Styela clava: one gene and its partner. The protein of the gene in region 2 interacts with the protein of the main gene of each other region in a pairwise test. Links are inferred from orthologs where the notes say so. Each region holds a gene or a part of one and is shown on either strand. Other genes may lie near its edges.

Region 1 (8,209 bases), on a different chromosome or scaffold from region 2:
GTATGCTGAATAAGCTTCAGCTTGTGCTGGGTCGTTTATATTTGGCTCAGTCAGCAGATCTTGGATGCCAAGTAATATCTAAATTATGATACAAAATGCAAAATAAAAAAAGGGCCCAGATTGTTTTATTGAAGTTTTTTTGCAATTTGTAAAAATCTAATAAAATGAGTAATGTTAGGGTTACGGCATTCAGGTTAGTTGAGAAAATTTAGATTTCAATTTTTACTAAACCACATTTTAGACACACTAAACGCCATAACCAATATATAAATTTCAAACCGCTTAAATCTCAAGAATAAACTTGTATCGCATTGATTACAGTCAATGAAATCAGTATAATCTACTCATCTTTTTGATGTCGTCATTTGTGTTTTACAAAAATAAGTTTTTGTACATGCGTTTTGATTGAACGTCATTTTTATGCTGGGAGTGTACCTATTTCAAGGTTGACCTATTTTCAAGGTTGAAAAAAGACAATGAAACAGGCAGAATCAGCTAATTTTGAGTTCACCATGCTCATTTCACAAAGCAAGATAATTCAAATAAATGTCACATTGCGAAAAACTGCAAGCATTTTAACCACCATATTTTACAGACCATAAGGTGCACCGAATTATAGTGAGCACTCACAATAAATGCGGCGCGGCGGTGTGGCTCAACGGGCTAAGCGTTAGGAATACGCTCGCCACCGCACCTCTAATTACTCTGCGTGGGTTCACAGGTTCGAATCCCATGCAGGGATGATTATGTGCGAGAGGATTGCTGGACTCCTCGCCGTCGTTGGGTGGTTCACTGACCGCTGTTCGGTTACGGCTTCCTCTACCACCAAGTCCATGCTTCCGAAAACAAACAGTATAACTAATCCCATACCTGACTTGGAATGGTAACCGGACGAGAGGCCGTGGTTCGCCAATGGATAAGCCATCTTATCGACTTTCCTCTCCCCCGGGATAAATATGTAAATCCTATCCTATTCTATCCTAAATTACTCAGGTTTTTTCATACATAAGGCACACTGTGCATAAGACGCAACCATTACAAGTACTATCTAGTTTTGAGTGTACGCAATAAAGTACTACCTGTTCCATATATTATGCGCACGATCGATTTTGAAGAAAAAAAAGGTGCCATATGGTCCGTAAAATACGGTAGAATGAATTGGGATTGATAGGATTCCAATTGGTGAATCACCAATGCCTAACCTGTTTAATGGTGATAGCAGGTCTCCAATCCTTTTCTTCATCCAGAATAGAAAGACAAACAGTACCAGATGGATAAACATTGGGGTGGAACAAGGGAGGTTCAAACTTGCATTTAGGTGGTGAAGAAGGATAATCATCTTTGAATATAATTTTCAGCTTGTATAAACCACCTTCCCACGCAGTCTATGGATATAAAAAATGTTAATGTTACTTCACACTACGATGTCAGGAAATACATTATTACCATTACATGAAAAAAACCACTTGTCACAATCATATAACATCCTACACAATTTCTTCGAGACAAGAATATTCTAACAAAGCAATAGTACAATGGAAATGCATCAAAACTTGCATTTATTGTATTCACTTAAATTTCATGTGTTGCTTCGCTTGCGTAGTTCAACGCGACCATTTTCATAGTCAATAAAGATATAGTGGTATTAAGGTTTCAACAAGTTATTCAATATAGATTCGCATACTGCCCCTTGCTTTGTTGGTACAATCACTCAATACAATACTGATACAGCTTAAATAATTATTAAATATAACATCTCAATGCCAAAAACATTGTCCAGTAGCCAATGGCTTGAATATGCAATGATAACTTACCCCAGCCTTTCCAGGAATTGCTGAAAAATAATAAAATAGATTGAAAAATTTTTTTTATTGGGTAGAAAATGGAACAAGATGATTTTTAAAAGATAAGAGAAAGAGATTTTATTCCCACAAAACAATGTTAAAAAAGAACAATAGTATCCGATTTTTTTGTATAGAAATACAGTGCTGTGAATACTTGAACATTGAATTGTGTTGGTTAGTATGCAACAAGACCTTTACAGGTCACTGAGACTCCTGACCATTTTATTTACTCTGTGATCAAACTGTCAGTATGGATTATCACAATATGAAATTATAAAATAAAGACAGAAAATGAGTCGGCTGATAAATAATTATTTATTTTTTCTACTAGCCGACACTTTACATCAGATTTATTGTATAGTTCAGAGGGCATGTGTAAAATTGTGTATATATTATATTACACTTTGATCAAGTACAATACTGATCCCATCCACAGAACCTGGTTCCGTGTAGATTCATTATTTTGTCAACCAAAATACAAACAGTCATAAATACAAATGAAATGTAACATAAATGAAAATTGCTTTGATAAGACAACTACGACTTACCAATAAGGTAATATAACCAAGCAGTTACTAATTCCAAGTAGAACATGATATTTATGACAATTTTGAACTAAAATTTCAGGTTATGATATCTGAAACAATATCTCACCACAATCCCATGTCATCAAATTGAATGTTCCATCTGGATTCTTCACTGGTCTTGCCACAAAACCCTATATAAGAGAAAAATTTGAACCCAGCAAAAAAACATTTCTTTCTCACATATTTTTGGACATGTTCATGGTTTATTTATATTAATATTTGAGTTATTGATTCATTAATCTTACATTCATACATACAATAACGCTAAATGCCCTATCAATCCCAGCCCTCATATCGTAATGCTAATCAGAAATTGAATAAGTGAAATTTCTCTTTCACAAACGAGAAATAAGTCTAATGTAGGCCTACTAAGTATAAGCGATTTCTGAGAATATTAGCTTTAAATAACCAGAACATGATTACAAAAATGAATTGTCAGATTGCATTTCAAAATATACAATAATTCTCACAAAAGGGTGGTCTTTTCTCCATGCCTTTCTTTCTTCTGACAATCTAGAGGGGGCAATTCCAGACATCGGTAAGGTGGATTATAGGACTCAAGCAATAAACAAATAGCAGAGTTAGGTGGAAGTTTTTTATTGAAATTCACGCTGAGAACACTCCAGTCTAACCTCGATTGGCATACGTCATGTAAGCAGACTACTCAATCCGCAAAAAAGTCTTTGCAGTGCAGCAGTATACCGTATATTATTTAACTGTTAGTTAGGTAAAATGAAGTCATGATAATATTAGCTGTTCATGAGATTAGATGACTTCTTTGAATAAAACAAAAATAGGACTGAAAAATGAACACTGTAATTCAGTCATCGGTTTTCTGATTTTAATCAAGGCAAATATACTCTACTTAATATTCATCAGACATTTTCTTTTTCTGCACACTTTTATATTACACTATCCAGCTATCAGCAGCAGTCTGTCCATTTGCATTTTTATGTTACCTATATTCACGTATTACTACTACCGGTATATCTGTATATTATACTTGGGGAGGAAAATAATCAAAATGTAATGAAATGTTTATGTAAAATCTAAGTGATCTGCTTAATCTATATCAGTCATGAAATCATTGTGCACTGAAGTAACACAATACTGCAATAGGTAACAGAATAAATTTCTCAGTCAATTATGGGAGATAACTTCAAATACATAGTCTACTACCAGTATGTTCCTCATGCACAACAAATTGCCATCAAAAGTGATTTTCTGAAAAAATTGTGATTTCTCTAATTGATTTATATTGCCACTGATACAAGAGGCAGAATAAAAATGTCAACAATAAGTATTTTTCTGTTTTGGTTCTACCACATAGGCTATATTTTTTATTTAGAATTGTTATCTTTGGTTTTAAGATAGGATTTACATTTTTATCCTGGTGGAGAAGAAAGTCGAAGAGACGGCTTAATCATACACCCGCATGCAGGCATGAGATTCGAACCTACGAAGGGCACCGTAATCACAGGCGCAGTGACGAGCGTATTCGTACTTCGTAGCGCTTAGAACGATGGGCCCCACCGCCAAGCCAGGTTTCATTCGCTCTCCTGATTCTGTGGCCAGTTTTTATTTGTTACTGTCAGAATAAATTACAGGTAGACTATACCTCTGTGAAGCTAGCAGCAAAACACGAAATTGTGACTGACAGAATCGCAGAAAATACCCACGCGTAAAATTAAATGTTCCCAATGATTTTTAAAAGAAAGTGTATATTTTGATTAGTTTCACAATAGCAATTAAGGCAAAACAATCATTAACTACACTCCTCGTATTGTTAATATATAGTAAACAAGCTAAAGCGACTGTTACAGTGCACACAATTTTTTTATAATTTTTTGAGAGATATTTAAAAATGACTGAATTTTCGTCGTGTAACATGGTCGTTTCATGAAAACCTCCAATAAAGGCAGCATTGCAACACCATTGGTGAAAAGTAGAAACCTCAAAGATTCGATTTCATTATGTCAGAACAGTCTCAGCACGTTTTGACTTGATCATATATAATACTAAACATAGCGTATATTCTTCTTGATCAGAATTTTCAATTTTCATATTTACCTTGTAAGTGAACACTATATGCACGTGGAACCTATATTCAATGTGTAAAAATATTCTGGCTGAAAGTGCTGCTAGCTTCACAGTGGTGTAGACTATACCTGTATACTGTACCGGTACGGTATTTTATCAATTAACGTTAGTACTTTTTCAATGCTTGTATGCCGCTCACAGTTTATGGAGACGGAACATACCGGTGTGAAGAAATATCAGACAGAATTCAGGAAATTTGGAGGAGATATAATTCAACATATTCATCCTGAGGAAGCAAGTGCAGTTTTAAGTATTCTGTGGCGTCTGTAGCTGCCGCAAAACCATGGCGGTATTTCTATTCCATGGCCGCTATGGCCAATCCTATCATGGTTAACTGATTAACCATGAACCTATGATGACGACTGACTTTTAAGCTGCCACAAACCAATGACGAGCTGCCGTTACCGCGGCAGCAAATCGAAAACCAATGGCAGGTAAAATTTTGCTGTCGTAACCACGATAGGTGGGCCGTAAAGACAGAGCTGTCCCTTATGATGACAAGGATTGGGTAAGTTGGAACGTTTTTCTTATGGATACAGTTTTGATGTATTTGGGGTTAGGGTTTAAGTAGATATAATTCCGCATGATCAATCAAAATCTGGTGCATGAATTTGTGAATATACAGTTAATACTGATTACTGAATAGCGCTATAAAACCGTGGCAAGAGATGCCGCGGTTCGTTCGTGGCAGGAGCTGCCATGAAGTGGTAACAACTGTGCCTCTGAGGAAGAGTATATAAGTATAATAATATAAGTATATTTTGATTTTCCCGCAAAAAAATCATACACCAAACACAAACAATGAACACACAGAAGATTGGGTTGGGAAAATCGGGGAAACTGGCAAAACCTTTATAAAGGTTTAATACATGCGTCAGTTTACCCACATTCAACACAAAAACATATATTCAAAATAAAAAAGACAAAGACACGAACGGGTATCATTCATTGTGGTGTATCATTCGGGCGTCAAACTTGTGTAACATAAACACTCGGTGGGTCCCAACAATGACATTAAACAACATGATGCGCAACTCCGGCATTTTTGTCCGAAGATCGTATTCGATAGCACGCTCCAATGCACATACTTGACGAGACGAAAACGAGCGGATGTGTGCTGCTTTCAAGGCGTAGCACGAATGGTGTTCGTGCCTGCTTTGACAGTTGTTGTCGATTTTAATGATATTTTTGAAAGTTGGGGTAAAAAGAAATCGGTAAAAAGTAAGGTGAATACTATTGTTGTATATCACACCCACTATTCGTCTAATCTCAATTTCCTATTATTTATTCACAGGACAACTATAGCAGACGGGGAGATATCAGAAGTCTGGCGACATATCAGTGACAGTGTGATTCCAAGAAATATAATGCAATTGAAAATAGAAAATTGCAATAGAAAAACAACCTATGGAGACATGCAAAGACATTTGACCCTCCGGTAGAGTTGTGTATGGCCCCCACATCCTGCAGGGCTTGAGGAAATTAACTAAAAATTCCAAAGCGTAAGATTGCATAAGCGGTCTTATTTGTAAAAAGGCACAAAACACGCCAGACATACTTAAAACAGCTTTGGTAATGAGGATTACGGGTACCTCACTGCACCTGTGTTATATTTGGTTCATCAACTTTTGGTAGTACTATAGAAGAAATTCCGGAAGGGGTATAATCATCATTCATGATAAAATACTATCATATATTTTTTGAACAACGTCAATCTAGACCAGGGATCTCAAACTCGCGGCCCCAGAGAACTTCCAGTGCGGCCCTCGAACGCTTAACAATAATTGTAATAGTATTTTGGAAGTTTTTTTTTTATCTAAATGTAATAGATTTTTCAAACCTTCTAAAGTGAAATTGATTATTCACACAGAAAACAATTTACTGAAAGTAGTTTTGGAATATTAATTTTTTTTGTCCACATTTTGACCCAATTAAGAATACACATCAAGCTAGCAAAAGAATACTTGAATAAAACACTTGAGTAATTAAATTAAACGCAAAGTACACGAAGAAGGTGGCATTTTCGAAGAAAATGGGAGTTGTCACATTTCTGCTCTTCACAAAATTCTGAAGCACATTGTTTAATTTGTCATATTTCCATCAATACAATCAAAAAACACAATAAGCTCAGCAGTCAATATGACAAATTCGAAGACCAACTTCGAACAGAAAATTTCCATGTGTTTGTATATTAATATAATTATACAACGACTTAGTTACTAAAAATCAATATCAATAATAATTCAAGCAATCCTATGCCACGCAATGTAGTGCAAAATGTCTTGTCGAAAAAATCTGTCATTTGTTTTTTTACTGATCTATACATGAAATGATAAAAGTAACTTTTTTGCATTACTGGAATTAATTAAACATTCGTAAAGATCCAGATAAACCCATGATCATGTGGCCTCGTTAGTTAGAGTTGGTACTATAAAATCATTTCAGACTGGCCTTAGTATGCTGGTGACACAAAAAAGATGCCAAACGCCAGGACGAATGTAATTATTAAAACATTGAGTTTATACTGTAGTATTTTTGTTAATTTTAGGTTCATATATTTAGATTAAGTTATTTTTAGTGTATGTATTATTCTTTCCTTATTCAAAGCTTGTTCAAAAATGATTTTGATGGTTGTACATAGAATTTTACGATTTTTTATAATAAATACTGTAACTTGCAAATGTTGCAATAATAGTGGAATGCAAATATTAATATGTAATTGCATTTGAAATTGAAGAAAATATTAAAACTTAATCCAACTGTTTAGTTGCATCACAATATATGTCACAAACTAAAACTATCTTAAAAATATCTTTTAAGTATACATTATCAAAAACTGTTTGCGGCTCTTTTTACAATTTTTAAAATGCAATGCGGCTCTCGAAAACCCATGAGTTTGACACCACTGATCTATTCTAGACGATTCAAGCATTGCTTTGGGAAATTATATCACTTCAATTAAATTGAAATAATCTCGCTATATTAAATACAAAATCGTTGCTATCATAAAGGTAAACCAATTCAGCCACTCGAAATATATTGGCCTTCACAAAGCAATGGAGGCAAAATTGAGAGTTCATGAGCTATGAACATTTGTTCTTTTCTTTGTCTTGAACTTTCCATACTCCACAGCCCCTATTAATTTTTTTTAATTTTAATTACCATGTGATGGTCATACATATCTTTAACTTGTATTTTCTGTCATGATGTATTATCTCAATGTGCCAAACTATTAATTTGTGTGCATATTTTGCTTCCAGATGACATAAATGTATTGTCATGTTTATTACCTCAGCTTGGAGTATTGACAAGAAAAAGGTGCCAGTAAATTAGGTAAAAAAATTTTCAACTCATTGTTATAATCAGAATTCACAATCAATAGGAATTATAAACAGCCAACAATCAGTGAGAATTATATGCGAAATCCCTCAGAATAAATTTGTCTAAAATCGGAGGAAGGCAAAAAATATAGGTAGTTTCCATTCACACAAGCATTTCAAGAAGACTTGCTCGAGCCAAACTAAATGAGCATCGTCAGGTGATCGGTAAGGCTGCAAGTTGAATTCAGCCCTGCAACCTCCTGCATAGAAGATAATATTAATTAGTGGGCTATGAGCTAAATTCCTAAATTTAAACAAACCTATCTACGATGCATTATGTACCAGCAATGTTACCTAC
Region 2 (8,232 bases):
ATCACATTTGACAAAATAAAAATGGTGTTTCTGTGAATTAAAATAAAACATGTTGCCAACAATGACTCAATGAAGCAATCCATATGTCAACTTCATGTCCAAAAATTAAAAAACTTCAACAAAAATATTCTTTTACATGTTGAGAGGGGAGCGATATTTTGGATAAACAATTGGATCTTTATTCAGCAAGGGTATACGGATTGTTAAACTAGGTGAATATGACAAAAGCAGACTTCAGAAAAAGCTGAGAAAAACTTGTGATGGGTATAAGTATAACAACATTCTGCATTTTTCGCTATCATTTTTAAAATTAGAATACACTAACTTATTCTATAATAATTTTTGTTACATGGAAATAGGTAACTTTTATTTGTTACGGTTAGGGCTGTCCAAGCGAACCAAATATTCGAAATAGAATCGAATCGCAAATTATTCGAATCGTTTTTCGGCTAATTTTCGAATCGCTAAAATTAGGTACCGGTACATAAAGCGGAAACCACCTTTACGGGATGTTTTTCATCGGGCAAGCGGCGGCGATCCGAGCTCAGACCACTCTCGCTCCCGGCTTGCTTAATTGGTTTCCCGATATTTTTCTCGCCTTCATTTTGTGATAAACATGTCATTACTAATGCCCGCCCGGTGGCACGTGATTAGCCATTTCATGCGTGGTCATCATAACAAGGTATAGTCGATCGTGACGTTTTTGAGAGAGAACAAGGAGAAAAAGGAGACAATTTAGAAAACGATAGTTCTATAAATAGAATCGATTTGAAGCTGTTGAGTTAGTTATCATAGGAACATGGTACAGGCAACTCAAAGCTGAAACAGGTGTTTTGGGATCCTTATGATGGCAATACCTTATTTAAATGGAATTTGTAATTTCTCATGATGGCATTACTGTATTATCCATCTATATACCAAGACAAATAATTGCACTCTTGCATTTTGATGGCTGTTGTACACTAACAATATTATAGTCCTCAAATAATATTGTCATCAAACTAGCTTGGAATTTTTAAATGCAATTTTGAACTTGAGCAACAGTTTTATCTATATTGATGGTTGTTATTATTTTGCTGAAATTTACACAAAAAAACATAAAGACTAGTGAATAGGATTAAAATAGCATCTACAAGCTTTATATGTCCTACTAAAACTGAATCCATCAAAATTGAGATTGCAATTTTTGAATAGTGCAATTTTTACTCTTAACACTCAACAGTTTTCGAGACCCAAATTTTGGAGTTCTCCAATTTTTTTGACCAGTTCATACAAGCGTGTGATCTCCTTTGATGTAACTGCACATACGTTACCACAACATCGAAGGGCAGGCGTTTATTGTATAATAGAGACAGATTTACTATTGGGCAATAATATTCGATTATTCGGTTCGATTCGGCGAAAATATTCGATTCGAATCAAAAAATTATTCGATTTTGGACAGCCCTAGTTACGGTAGATAAAAGTGCGACTAAAATGAGAAAAATGGAATAAAACTGTACTAAAAACTCACGCTAGTTGAATTGTGTATTACTATTAAATAAAATACAACTTATTATAGTTCAAAGAAGACATTAAAAAAAAAAAGTTTCCGCAATATAGATTCAGACCTGGCATGTAACAGCAATTGTGTGACAAATTTGTGATTTTCCTGTTCTGAATTCTCCGAAGAGTTCTGTTATCGATCCAGTCTCAATTCCACCTAAAAATAAGAAACACTTTTTAGACGAGACTCACGACTTCGTGTCGAACAAATCTCTGTACAAAAGTTTTTTTGATATACCTTGTAATAACTTATCTAATTCTTTTGATCCTGTAGTAACTTGGATTATTTCCGATCTCCTTTGATGAAATTCTGTCGCAGTTGTAAAACCCATCGGCACTAATTTCGCTGCTTCAAGCTAAAAAAATATATAAAGATTTCATGATCAGGGTCAAAGAAGATCTTGTAATGTTTCATGTAGAATACAGTAGGGCACAATTCGCTGATTGGTTAACAATTGGTTAATCTGAAATAAGGGTGTCTTGATCGACGACAGATGTGCCAGAATTCGCCATGCTTGTTTCAATAATAATTTAAATCAATGTCACATGATCAAAATTGTGTTTTTTTTAGATATAGATTGAAGATTGTGCTTCCTTCTGGTTTATTGCACAATACCGGTTTGCCAATTTGTGCCAGTATGGAGGCCCAGACTGTCTCATGAAAGAGGGGTTTGCATTCACTCTTATATTTAATGTCTTTCAATGTGGGAGCTATTCTTGAAATCAGAGAACTGTGCCGTAATGTTATATGATAGACTTATTGATAAAAATAAACAAATAAAATCGTTGTCATATTATTTAATTTTCACTTTTTCAACGTCAGAGTGATTTCCACATAAATATTTGACACATAATAGAATTTCAATGTCCTTTAATAAATTTTACCGTTAATTTCTCAGCTTTTGCTTCACTTATTCCTTTTACTCCAACAAGTTCCTTCTTCGTAGCATAAGCAAGTGCTTCCACAGAATGGTATCCATTTTCTGAAAGTTTCCTTATATCACTTGCACTTATTCCACATTGCTAAAAGAGATAGATTTTGCATAATGTGGTATGCGGTTGTGTAATCTCAATTTATGATAGGCCTATTTTAATTTTATAAAGTACCTTTACCGGTATCCAGATAATGCAGTATTGATAAAATCATAATTTAAGAATTGATTTTAAAAAACGATTTTCTCCGACATTTCTGATATAGAATAGTTGAAAAGTCAAAAGCCATTAATTTTCTTGTTAAATTTGCTATTTAACCTATTTCTGTTTTTTTTCTCTCGAATTCAGGGCTTGCCAGTATTTGCGAATAGAACAATATGAAAATTTCTTGATTTACGGTAATTAACTCAACTTACCTCTAATTTTGCGATGGGAAGTGGGCCCATAACCTCCTCTTCTTCGGCATCTTCCTGTTGTTCGTGTACTTGCATTGCCATATTTACTGAAATAAAGGTTTGCGAACGACGCCTGCGATATCTCAGAATACAGAAATACTAAAATAAGACGAGACGATTTACCAAAACAAATCTCGCGCTTTAGATCCACTGAACCATAACAATTATTTTGACCAAACTTTTCGTAAACTTAAGAAAAAACAACGTTTAAATATAACTTGTACAGTCCTTTAGTTTGATTTAACATAGACAGACCAAATAGTCACACAAAAAAACGGTGTTCATATGTGTAAGTTTTTTTTTACAATTGTGAGATATTTCGAGTATTGTAAAAGTAATGTAGCAAACGCCGTAGGGAAGTACTTTTCTTTTATATAAAATATTTATAAAACATTATAATAATGAACAACATAACATATTTATCATTTTTTTTATTGGCGGTTTTCAACAAAACGTCTTTTTTTACGTAATTCATAATAAATTTTCCCCGAGGATGCCAGTATCAAGAACTATGACGTACAGTTTCGATATTTATTATTTCGTGCCAGACCGTCTCGTTGTTCAGACGAGTTTCGACGCCGGAAGTTTACGTGTCCAGTTGTATTTCGCGAGATTTTTATATTGTACCAGCGTTCAGACAGCTATAACAATGTATTTTTCTTCGCAGAACAGCATGTAGTTGATAATAAAAACATATATAAACATAGCTAATTGTTACAAATTTAGGAGCACGGAATATCTTTCGTTTTATATTACTGTAGCCTATCACTTCTTCACTCGTCATGTTCGAAATGTATTTTGCCGTTGGAGTTCTTCTTGCCTCGTGTTGTACAAATGTAATTTTTCTTGAACACCTGATAAAGTGAGTGTATAACTTTTTTGGCTAGAGTTATTGAATTTTGATATTGTGTACCGGTATGCAGGTATGGCAGTATGGTGAATTTTATGCTTGGATGAATCTGTATTTATGATTGTAGTATTCTGTTTGTACTTACTGTTTGAAGTTTTATAGTTTGGTCTAATCTTTCTTTTCTGTAACATTGCCTATGGCATACTTTTATATATATCACATCTTTCTGTGCTAAAGCAGCCAGAGCTTTGATTTCCCTTTGTGTTATCTGGCTAAGTTACACAGCTTTTAACTCAAACTTTGTATTTTATTTAAATAAGAATTCACTGAAATTTAACTTTCATTTTTCAGAGCTTCACCTGATAGTGGAAATATCCTGCTTTTTCTTCAATTTTCCTTTATTGCTATAGAAGGTTTTATTGCTAATCGGAAGTTCGGATGGGAAACTAGACATGTTCCTTTAAAGTATGTGGCTTTTTTGCTTTTCTTATTGTGCAAAGTAAAGAAAGACAGAATCAAATAGGCCTATCGATAAAAAAAAAAAGTTATAGCTAAACTCTACTTTGTCGTCATGATTTTACTTATATGGTGTATATTCTCAAAACAAGAAAAAAGTCTCAAGTAATTGCCTCCTATATAAAATGTAATTTTACAAGCATTTTTTTAAACTTTAATGGCTTCATACTACTTGATCACAGTCTTATCCAGAGACATATATCTGTATATAGAAGCACCCCAAAAAAACAAATTTTAATTGTAACAGAAAATAATTCAATTTGTCTTATATTTAGAAACTATGTTGTCATGGTTCTACTGTTCTTCACAGCCAGTGCTACTAATAATATGGCATTAGGTTTCAATATACCAATGCCTCTTCATATGATTTTTAAATCTGTAAGTATAACAAATATGATAATTATTATTCTTTCTATTGTTATCAAGCGAGTAGTGTGCATCATATTTACATTACCGCCCATAAAGTTTCTAAGTTGCTAAAAGATAAGTTTCTAATTCTTAGGCACGAACATATACATACATAGATTTATGAAGTTCCTTCCATTAAAAAGCGATTATTGAAACGTCTGGTCAGTTATGGCTCCATCCACTATATGGACAGTCTATACAATTTTTTATATTTTTTTTCTCTCAGGGTTCTCTTGTAGCGAACATGTTTCTTGGTGCTTTCTTATTGAAGAGGTCGTACTCATCTCAAAAATACCTTTCAGTTGCATTTGTGTCACTGGGTATATTGATTTGCACTTATGTTACAGTAAGTTATGTTTATGAAGATTGAATGCTTGAATAATATTGCTCGACTATAATTAGCATTGACCAACTGCAGCTCTTTTTTGGATTATTGGACTTGGACATGTACGAGGCCCGGCCTATAAATTGTTTTACTCAATGTAGTTGTTTGTCTCTGATTCTAGCAGACCAATCGATATTTTAAATTTTCAACACTTTAAGATGGCTATCACCATACTTTTTTTGACATTTTCATGAATCCTACACAGACCTCAATACTGTCCCAAATATTGAGTATTTCTCTCTTTTTTTGCTACGAATATAGCCTACCTAGTTGTATGTAGCGTGTATCATTTTTGTAATTACGTTATCTGTACGCTATGATTTTATTTTGTTATTTTGATTTCTTCATTACCATAATTTGAGATACGTATTGGCTATTTTCAAGTTTAATGGAAATTCAAATTTTAAAATAAAGTTTTCTATAACTGAATGAAGTGTGTAGCCGACAAAATGATTGACAATCATTGGATTTCCGGTACATCAATTTGAAATATGATTTTTTATATACTAAACATAAATTTCATATCTTTATAAGTATTGCTAATGTTGACATTATATCTAAGAGTGTTTCAAAGGCCACCACAATGTCTAGTCATTCAACTGATGCTTCTACATTAATTGGAGTCATATTTTTGACAATTTCACTCATTGTATCTGCTGGAATGGGAATTTATCAAGAAAGTATCGCAATCAAATATGGGAAACATCCAAGAGAAACTTTGTTTTACAATGTAAGTGATACGATTACTGAGTTATTGATTAATAGTTGTTGGACATAATCTTAATTAATAATGAGGTCGGTCAAATAATGAACGTAGGTGCCAATATCTGATGGATATTTTTTTATCATAATTCCTAAGAAACAAACATGCCTAGTTTGAGTTCACCAACTTATTTGACCTTTGACAATATATGGAACACCACTGTTCGTTATTCTCAGAAGTCTACATATGGATTGTTTGCTAAATTATTGTTGTTGCTGGGGACAAAAATGCCTTTACCACATTTTCTATATTTAATAATAATGAAAGAAATTGCTTGAAGGCTTTTACTTTTTTTTTGCTGTTTCACTCTGCTTTGTTTGACTTCCTCCATAAGTTTGACCGCGGATCTTTTCAGCAAACTCTGTGATCTCAAGCCCTAAAGTACCGGTACTGATGTGCAACAATGTGTATTTATTTGAGTATTGATCTCTTGCACATTTTGAAATGAGACTCGTATTTTTCCATGATAAATACTAAAATAAAAGAGAGATCATGTATATATATTGTATTACTGCTATCTTCATTATGTTTTATTAACAGAAAATAAATTATTTTCACAGCATGCTCTACCGTTACCATTCTTCCTGCTACTCGTACCAAGCATTGCGCGGAATTTAGAAATATTCAATCAATCACCTCTTGAGCCGGTGCCATTTTTTACAAACTTTCTGAACACTGTTTCAGAGTCAGTTTTATCTTTTCAAATGAATTTAGAAATTCCAATTTTGTGGCAATACGTCATCATCAATGTTGTGACGCAATACTTTTGCATTCGTTCCGTATTTTATCTCGTTACTGAATGCACTTCGCTAACGGTTACGCTGCTGATAACCCTACGTAAGTTCATATCGTTGCTGTTTTCAGTGCTGTATTTTCAGAATGATTTTACTTTTTATCATTGGATAGGGACATCATTCGTTTTCGCTGGCAGTTTAATGTATTCGGATATTTTTAGAATAAAATCTTCTACTGTAACCACGTTTAATAACAGCAAAACATCGAAAAATGGTATTAGTAATGGGTATCACAAAAACGGTCATACAAAGGTGGATTGAATCTTGTATTAAACCAATGCCAATGATGCCTTATCTGTTCATTATGCTTATCAACACAGTTATATTTGTGTTAGAAAATTTCTACTTATGTGATTACCTAGAAATTATTATTATTTTTACTTTCTGCTCTTAACTATAATACGAAGATACCCTAATGTGGAAATAATTCTAACGAAGCAAAGCTGAAGCCATTTTATTATTTGTACATATTTTTGTTTTTAATATTATTATCATGTCATAAAGCACTGTGCTTATGCTAGTCTGCCAATGTAATTGTCTCTTTGAATTAAAAGGATTGTATATACAGTCAATTGAATTAATCAATGTATTATATGGTATATTTTATGTGATATATTTATTGTATCATGCCTGGTTTGATAATGGCTTCCCACTAGGATGAGAAATTCATTATTATTAGCCTATGTATTCACATGGAGATAATTTAATATGTATAGTTTTCAATCTACATTTTATTAACTTCTTTTGTTAGTCAGTAACGTTCTTTAAAATAATATTGCACAAGAGATGTTCACTATATAACAGGAATATCTTATCAAGGTCGGCCCTCTAGGCAAATTTAACTGACCCGCCTTGGTGGAATGTTTTATACCAGGGTATGCAACAGGTGGCCCATTTAGCCAAGCCATTTAGTGTGGCACTTGTCAACAATGAAATATACTCATTAAACATAAAATCCTAATCAGACGGTTTGTTTAAAAATTTGATCACATGGGTAAAAATACATGTTTTTTGTGGCTGCGTTAAATATTGTATTGTGATAATTTTTTTTGGTTGTATAGGATACATGGAAAAGCTAGATGTCTGATGTTGGTTATATGGCCCACTGAAAAATGTTGCACACCCTGTATTATACTGTCTATAAGTTGTGAATATTGTTTACCACAGATTGTCAACTCCATGCTTAACTGAATGTCACCATTATTTTAGGATCATACTATATTTATAATTAATAATAATATAACTAATGCTACTTTCATAATCATATTCCAATAAAATTTGGCTGAAAAGAATTCTGTGTTTTAATCCAAATAGTCTTCCTCATTTTTGTATACCTGTTACCATTGTACTGGAGACTATGCAGTGATTTTTATTATGCTTTTTCCCTAATGGTATTGTACGTTGGCTAGTCCTAGCGATAAGCATAACATCTGTTAGAATTACACTCTGAATAAGCCTACTAAGTGGAGTGGATTGACAGGTTAGTATCATGAGAGTTGCACACAATGTTGGTCGGCTAATAATACTTCATACTTTACCATGCAGAAGGAACAATTAACAACTGCTTAGCTATCATCTCTATT

The links. The genes of interacting proteins can lie anywhere in the genome.
Region 1: the proteins of DNA repair protein RAD51 homolog A (region 2) and SUMO-conjugating enzyme UBC9-B-like interact in a two-hybrid assay, tested with the Caenorhabditis elegans proteins (2 studies listed by BioGRID). The link is inferred for Styela clava from reciprocal best matches to the Caenorhabditis elegans genes rad-51 and ubc-9.

Annotation. Positions count from the first base shown.
Region 1 is NC_135259.1:1,891,198-1,899,406, forward strand, and holds the start of SUMO-conjugating enzyme UBC9-B-like, read right to left. Parts: upstream 3,170-8,209; 5' UTR 2,968-3,169; coding exon 2,902-2,967; intron 2,563-2,901; coding exon 2,499-2,562; intron 1,835-2,498; coding exon 1,815-1,834; intron 1,386-1,814; coding exon 1,203-1,385; intron 79-1,202; coding exon 1-78. UniProt on the Caenorhabditis elegans protein: Accepts the ubiquitin-like protein smo-1 from the aos-1-uba-2 E1 complex and catalyzes its covalent attachment to other proteins with the help of an E3 ligase such as gei-17.
Region 2 is NC_135264.1:10,477,906-10,486,137, forward strand, and holds the start of DNA repair protein RAD51 homolog A, read right to left. Parts: upstream 3,100-8,232; 5' UTR 2,976-3,099; coding exon 2,895-2,975; intron 2,569-2,894; coding exon 2,431-2,568; intron 1,902-2,430; coding exon 1,784-1,901; intron 1,703-1,783; coding exon 1,611-1,702; intron 1-1,610. Other genes in the region: nucleotide sugar transporter SLC35B4-like, read left to right, coding at 3,716-3,795, 4,135-4,248, 4,575-4,677, 4,934-5,053, 5,655-5,822, 6,416-6,910.